Linked DNA regions of Danio rerio. The protein of the gene in region 2 purifies or fractionates together with the protein of the main gene of each other region. This does not show direct contact. Links are inferred from orthologs where the notes say so. Each region holds a gene or a part of one and is shown on either strand. Other genes may lie near its edges.

What was found.
Region 1: the proteins of plin2 (region 2) and marchf6 purify together in Homo sapiens (affinity purification with western blotting; 3 studies listed by BioGRID). This does not show direct contact. The link is inferred for Danio rerio from reciprocal best matches to the Homo sapiens genes PLIN2 and MARCHF6.

The regions. Positions count from the first base shown.
Region 1 is NC_133177.1:33,448,357-33,452,291, reverse strand, and holds the start of marchf6 (E3 ubiquitin-protein ligase MARCHF6), read right to left. Parts: upstream 2,654-3,935; 5' UTR 2,442-2,653; coding exon 2,423-2,441; intron 1,617-2,422; coding exon 1,517-1,616; intron 1-1,516. UniProt on the Homo sapiens protein: Endoplasmic reticulum membrane-associated E3 ubiquitin ligase that plays a critical role in mitigating endoplasmic reticulum stress, the regulation of cholesterol and lipid homeostasis, and ferroptosis.
Region 2 is NC_133190.1:19,439,960-19,443,884, reverse strand, and holds the start of plin2 (perilipin-2), read right to left. Parts: upstream 2,979-3,925; 5' UTR 2,977-2,978; coding exon of another isoform or gene 2,959-2,976; 5' UTR 2,829-2,958; exon of another isoform or gene 2,816-2,828; intron 556-2,815; 5' UTR 443-555; intron 1-442. UniProt on the Homo sapiens protein: Structural component of lipid droplets, which is required for the formation and maintenance of lipid storage droplets.

The DNA.
Region 1 (3,935 bases), on a different chromosome or scaffold from region 2:
CAACCATAAATTTTGATTTATTTTATTTGAATCTTTGTTCTTTTATATTAATCAATGCTTGTGATTGATTGATTGATTATATTTTATCGATTTCCTACAATTCATCTTATTGAATGTAAATTTTATGAATTCTTTCCAAATAGTGAAATTTATTTCTTCGCGTGAAATGTATATATATTTGTGTATATATAAATGTGTGTGTATATATATATATATATATATATATATATATATATATATATATATATATATATATATATATATATATATATATATATATATATATAATTTTTTTTTGCGTATATAGTTTTTATATCAAAGCATTGGTCCACAAGTTTCAATAAAAATTATTTACTAAAAAAATTAACATGGATTTTTAATGTTTAAGGAGGATGCAACATTTTGGATGGCCTTTAATGACTTTTACTAGGACAATACACTATCAACATAACATGATGTACATGTGTAATAAAATCAAAGTCGATCGAATGCTTAGGTAAAAAAACTAAAATGTTAGAAAAGATTATTTAAATTGATAAAACACTTTCTACAAAAGTTTTCTGGGTCTATAAAGTTTGTCTGATAAAGAATATATAATACTTGATAAAGAATATTTAATAGCTGTCAGTTCAAATACAAAAGTTAGATCAACAATATGAACAGACTACCACGACCTTGTGTATTTAACTTGTTTGTGTCAATGTTTGTTAATCTAACATTGTACCCATTTGAGTAAATTAATTTAATGTTTGGGTAAACTATCCCTTTAAAAACACTTTTATTCATGTATAGGGTTTAGATTTAAAAAAAATGCTGCTCTTCTAACCTTTTTGTTTATAATCGTGAAAAACCTATAAGGCAACACACCAATTTTCAACATAGGCATTTGATAACAAATATTACTTGAGCAGAAAAATCTGTATATTAGACTACTTACTGAAGGATAATTTGCCAGCACATTGCAATTTAATTTAAACTGTAAAAATAATCCACAACATTACCGTTTTCACTGTTTTTCATTAAAATGACTTGACTTGACTTGAAAAGCTAAAATATCTTTTGAATTCACCAAGATTTTCACCAAATCAACTTAGTTATGCTTAGGCCTTGTTGACTTGCTAGAGCACAGCAAGTCATTTGTGACCATAAGATCTTACTCAAATTTTTATTTTATTTTATTTTTTTTTTTAAGGCTAGCAATCCCTTTTTTTTGCAACGGCTATTATTTTAATGCATTTTGGCAATTCCAGGACACCTAGAATTATCATCACTGCAGGACATTCAGCATTGATAACTGCTCAAATTACATTCATCTAAATTTTTATAGCAACCACCACAATAAAATAATAATAAAGTGCCTTTAGGCAAAAGCCATGTGTTGTTTATGACTTAAATATCCTGTTCCTGAGTTTAACAACAACAAACTCTAGCATGTTGACAGTCATTTCATACTGTTTGACCACCCCAAAAAACAGATTATAATAACAGTGAATTTGACAATAAACTAAGCTCTTACCATTCTTGGTGGATGAACTTAATACTTCCAGTACACACACAGGGATGGTAGAGGGGTTTGTCTTGGGTTCCCTCAGATCGACACACCCTACATATATCAGCTGCCAGAAAACATGCACAAAAAAAAAAACATTTTTAACAAAAGTATGTAGAATGCATCAAAATAAATGAGGATAAAAAGGATTGAAATTACCCCAACAACAAAAAATAGACTTGATTATGCTTTCTGATACTTAATATATGTTAATATCATATTCAGTATATACTAATATACAATCAAAAGGTTTTAATGCATGCAGGAGTATAGCTTGATTTCTCGTCAGTCCATATCTGGCTTATCTTAGAACTCTTGCTAAAATAATAGCAAAACTCTTAACTGGATTATAATGGATAACATCTGAAACAACTACAACTTTCACATGTCAAAAATCAATGAGATGTCATTGCAGGCAGTGTTTCAAACGTGGTATAAGTGATATCACTGATCTTATATATTACATTTATGCTATCGTATTTCAGGTGCGTTTAAACCTGGCCAGATTATCACAAACATCCGCTTCACATTACAACGGCTAACGTTACAGTTAAGCTAACAAGAATAATGTGATTTAGAAAATATAAATGGCATCTCATGAATTCAAAATGAAGTTCCAACGCAAATGAGTGTCTTTATTCGGACGTGCTAGGTGTAACGTTAGGTTATGACAGCTGTACTAAAGACCAAGCTGGCAGGAAAACATTAGCTTGTTAGCTTGCAAAGGCCAGATCAATTACAGATGCTGGTTTTGTTGATCGTAGCGTCCAAATCAAAACATAACGACAAATAAACTTCAGTCAAGAAACATTTAAAAAGCAAAAACGAGCAAACAGACAGCAGCCTGAAAGCCTCCGTGTCTAGACAGCTTACCTTCTTCGGCAGTGTCCATCTTGAACGGTGACGCACTGTCCTCTTTACAGTCAACACATAACACTCGCCGCGAAACAAAACACAATTATCAGCTCACAACCAGGCTAAAATACAGCATGACGACATCGATCCAAGCATGAACGCCGCATAACCCCGGACTGGAAGCCTTTTCTTTGTGTAGTGCTCGCGGATAGCGCTGATCCAGCTACTTGTTGGCCGACTACATTACTGCTCGGCTGAACATGTTTGTGGCCTCTGGATGTGAATGTGCTGCTACGGTTTCGATTTACGGCAGTGCAGTGCGCGTGCGCAAAGAACGCGACACTTTCTGGTGTTTTCCGTTGGTGACTGGATGCGTTTAACATTCAGTACTTTTGTTTGGTATGCGCAGTTTATGTTCACGTATATTTAACTTCATTCATTATTATTTATTATATGAACATAATACGAATTTGCAATGTTTGTAGTTTACGTATACGTTAAGGGGGTGAGGCAGGGGACTTTGAATCCGGTCACACCAGGGCAAGTGGTTCAAACCAGTCATTGGTTCAAACACACATACACACCTTCCTTTTATCGTGATAGACATTTGCATGTGCTTATTTTTTGTTATAGGTTAGTTAGCAACAGTTTGAATGCTGGCATTTGATCCCTGTAGACTACTTAATCTGGTGGTGTGTCATCCTATAAGTATAGTTATTTATTTGTAAAAGGACTCAGAATAACATTGAGGATTTTCTGGGCTTGGAAATCAGGCTTATTTCACGAAATATTCATTTCTTTTAGAGTAAATATAAACTGTAAAATATGTATATATAAATAAATATAAATGTAGAATATAAGAAGAATGACAATTTAAGAAGTGTATACATCATGCATAATATTTTTATAATTCTTTTTCAAATATTTCCCATAAGAGCTGTCTAACTTTTTTCACATTTTAACATAATAGTTTTTATAAATAATTTATTTTGCTATTGCCATGATGACAAAACGTCATATCTGACCATTTACTAGATACTAAACTGCAATTTAATGGCTTAACCCTGTTAATTAAGTTATGTTAATTAGGGAAGTTATTTGACAACAATGGTTTGAGTATTTTCTCAATGGGGCTAATAATTTAGACCTTTTAAAAATATTTGTTTTTATTAACAACTGTATTATTTCCAGCTAAACTAAAAGAAATGAAACATTATCCAGAAGAAAAATATATAAAATACTGTGTAGTGTACTGACATTTAATCCCCACAATGTAAACTTGTTAATCTGTACTCTAGTATATTCATTTATTTGTAAAAGGACAACTTGTCAGAATAACATTGAGGATTTTCTGTGATTGAAAATCAGGCTTATTTCATGAAACATTTCTTTCTTTTAAAGGGAATATAAACTATGTAATATATATATATATATATATATATATATATATATATATATATATATATATATATATATATATATTGTCAGCAAATTATTTTTATATTCAAATAATTCATATATTAGACTATAA
Region 2 (3,925 bases):
TGATATCACTTCCTCTGAGAAATTGCATGCAATAGACCTTAAAGGTCTATTGCATGCAATTTGTTCCGAAATTTTGGTTCGACCTGTATCATTATTTAAACACTCCTTCTTCCTTTGCATCGTTTAGTTTAAATTAAATTATTTGTTTTTACTCAGATTCTGCACTTAAATGTAAAGAATTTATCTTCAACATTTTTTATCTTGGTTGGAATTTTTTATATAGAAACAAAATGCATGTCTTCAATCTCTACTTTTAGACATTTTCTAATTGAAGTGGACTCACTGCACAAATCTTTCTGTATATGTAACAACAAAAAATGTCAGATTATTGGTACTGCATGAAGAACTTGTCTATTGTTTCTATTTTTAGCTAGATAGCTTTCCTGTAAGGCTCATAATTAATTTATTTTCATACACTTTTGTACAATTGTAATTTACTTACCCCTTTCGTTGTTTTGTTAGTCTTTTTTTTTTCTTTCTGCAGCTAATGTAGCTTGTAACCTTCTTGTGTATCTCGCTTATATTGATCTCCTGACTGTGGTTGCGGTTTTCATTCTTGAATAAAAAATAAAAATAAATAAAAAGATCTATTGCACACATTTTTTGTTAAAATTAATGCAAATGTGACAGGCCTGACAGAAACATGGGGACAATTGTAAAATAGTATTTATTTGTAGAATTTATTTATAATTTTAGATTTTTGATCAATTGATGTGAATGATAACATTTAAAACGTGCTATTTCTAAAGTTTTTTCCCCCTAAATAACAGTTTTTAGCATAACAAAACGATTAAAGTTGTAGGTCCAATTAGGCTGAGGACAATAAGAGGGTTTGTACATCTGTAAAGTGTTTTAATAAAGAAAAAAAATCTGTGAACCAAATGAATGACATATTCCTTTACAGGACAGCTCACAGAAATAAACCATCAGTCCATTTTAGACATTTTTCGGCATTAAATACTTTTTATTCAGTGTATTTATATTTTTATTCAAGGACAGATAATGTAGGTTTCTGGTAAAATGTTCCATATACTCTCACATTTTTATATCCATCATTAAAATAATCTTTATTTAGCTCTGCTGTTACACATGAGCAGCTGTTGGATTAAATACAACATAGCAGCTCATTCTCCTGAGCTTTTAAAACAACCAGGCGAGGGCGCTATTGACCAACATCACACACGTGATCTCGTGCAAGAAAGTATTCAAACTGGAATGTAATCAATCAGCTCTTAAAGCAAAGGAAATTCATTTTACAATTCTACACAAAATATACCGGGTCAATGCATTTGTGTCAAAATTTACTGATATTGCATAGATTTGTTCTTTCTGTCAGGAAAGTGAGGAAACTTTGACTTTTTACATGTAAAATCTCACAAAAGTTTTGGTCAGATTTATATAAATATTTTAATAAATTACAATTAACAAAGCAAAACTTTAAATTGAAAGATAATATTTGTTTTTATTTTAATAAAAAAAAAAAATTAAGAATATATAACTTTTTTTTTTATTATATGCGAAAATCTTTGTCCTCAAGCAAAAATTTCTTAAATCCCCCCTCATTTGCCCATTTGTTAAATTGAAATCGATTTCTTGCTTAAAGCTATACGTTTATCTAAGAACAAAAAATTCAGCAAGTTAATAGAAACGTATGAAAATATCATGCTTCCAGTGAGTAGTTGCTAGATGCTTTCTGTGCTTATTTAATTTTGTACTTCCCTTTTCTTTATTTTGTTTTAAATATTTTTCTATTTCTTATTTGTAACTTGTTGTTCTCATCACTTTGTAATTGTAGGTACTTGTATTTCAGTTTCTTACAGATTACTTCCTGATTTATATTGTACATTTCTTCTTTTCTATAAACGTTAATTCAATTAAAATAAAATAAAATAAAAAAATCAATCAGCTCTTGCATTCTGCATATTTATAATCCACCTACATAAATGCATTGTAAAACAAATATACAATAATTCATTTATTTCTTTATGAAATTGCATAATTAAACTTTAATCTGCTCTGTTTACTTTATGATGTTGAAAATCAAGTCTGCAGTTTAACACAGTGACTTTTATAGACATTTTAGTAGCTTTAAACAACACATTCGATTACAAATAATATATAGAAAATAAAGTCCTTAAAATAACAAAGTTCTGGTTATTTATTACCAGGTTTGTGTACAATTTACAACACCAACCCAGGCAGTATATGACTTTAAATAATTAAAAATCTTTTTAGAAGTCTTTTTTTAACTTATCAACATCACAAGTTTTAAAAGAAAGATCAAGACTTTATAATGCAATTCAAAGGCATGCATTTAAAAATAATAGTATGAAAAATGGTTAATTTACAGATATATATGACTCTATACATCTATAAATCAGATTGTCATGCATTATGAGTGTGTTTTGCTTTTGCATAACTACAGTAAAGTTTTAGAGCATTACAAGCATTTAAACCTTATTTTAGTCTCACTGTGTGCTAAAAACATTGCATCACCCAAACATTTCTACTTGCGTTTGTTTTTACTGGTGCAACCTTTGACAGAATCGTTCTCCTTTTAAGTCAAAAGCTTGGCAAATGACATCAACCCAAGAAGAACTCCTCCTCTAAGCGTTACAATCTGTGTTTTGTGCTCGGTACCTGTCAGAGAGCATTTAGTCTGGCGTCTGAACACTTTATAAAACGTTTATGACACGCTCTGCTTTTCTAGAGGCTTCTTGTGAGTCTCGCCATCTGCCAATCGGATCTCGGGCGCGCGCGGGGGAAATAAGAGAACGGAACGGGAAAGAAAAGGAGAAAGGGAGAGAGAGAGACTATTCGATACTGACCCGGACACATGTTGAGTTAACGGGCCGCTCCAGCTCTCTCCTCCGCCTCCTTCGGCGGATTCACAGTCTGTTTTTGATCCCCGAGCAGGGAGCCGGTGTTCACCTTCACTTCCATAACCCCGCTTGAACCATGGACTCGAATAAAATGGTAAGCAGTCGACGAAATGTTGACGTTTTAACGCATCTCTACACGTTTTTTGGGGGGTGGGGAGGAACTGGGGCTTGCCTCTTCGCGGGGTTGTCTTGTATATCGAGGATTGCGCGATTTTCAGGATAAGAGTGTTGTTTATTTACCTCAGATTAAACCGTTGACTTTACAGACCGTTAGTTGTAGCGACCTAGCTAACGTTAGTATGTGTTTAGCTCAGTGTTGTTTGGGCTCCTCAAGTATTTCCCAAAACATTCCCGGATTTTAGGAAGTCCCAGTGAGTGTGCTAATATAAGCATGCATGCGTTTTAAATAGCGTTTAAATGCACCGCTGATGTCTCAACATTGTTTTAGTCAACCAATATGCACGATTCATCTGAATCTAACGTTACTTGAATGCACAGTAAATATATATAAAACATTCACCCTTATAAACCTGCTGCTTTGCAATACAAAAGCAGATGCTAACCAGAATGAGTGAGTCTCCATTCACTTTCATTGTATGCAAAAATGCTTAATGAATGTGAATGGTGACTGAGGCTGTGAGAGTGTCAGTTCTTTATGGTCTTGTTAACAACACACTTTTGTGTTTTTTGTGGAGGAGGAAAGTCGTGCAGGTTTATCACTTTGCATTTAATGGCAGGATTTCTGTTATTATTATTTTGTCTGTGAAATATACATTTAAATGTGCGGCTAATGCAAGCTTGGGCAAAACTTGAGGAATAGTTTGGCTTAAACAAAAATTTGCTGTTAATTAAAGGCACAATATGTAAGATTTTTGTATTAACGTTAAATTATATATATATATATATATATATATATATATATATATATATATATATATATATATATATTTACTGACGTACATACTTACAATATCCCAAATATTTTGAAGACCAGATCCAGAGAAATAAGCAATTTTAATTAGTAAAACAAGCATTTCTTGTAT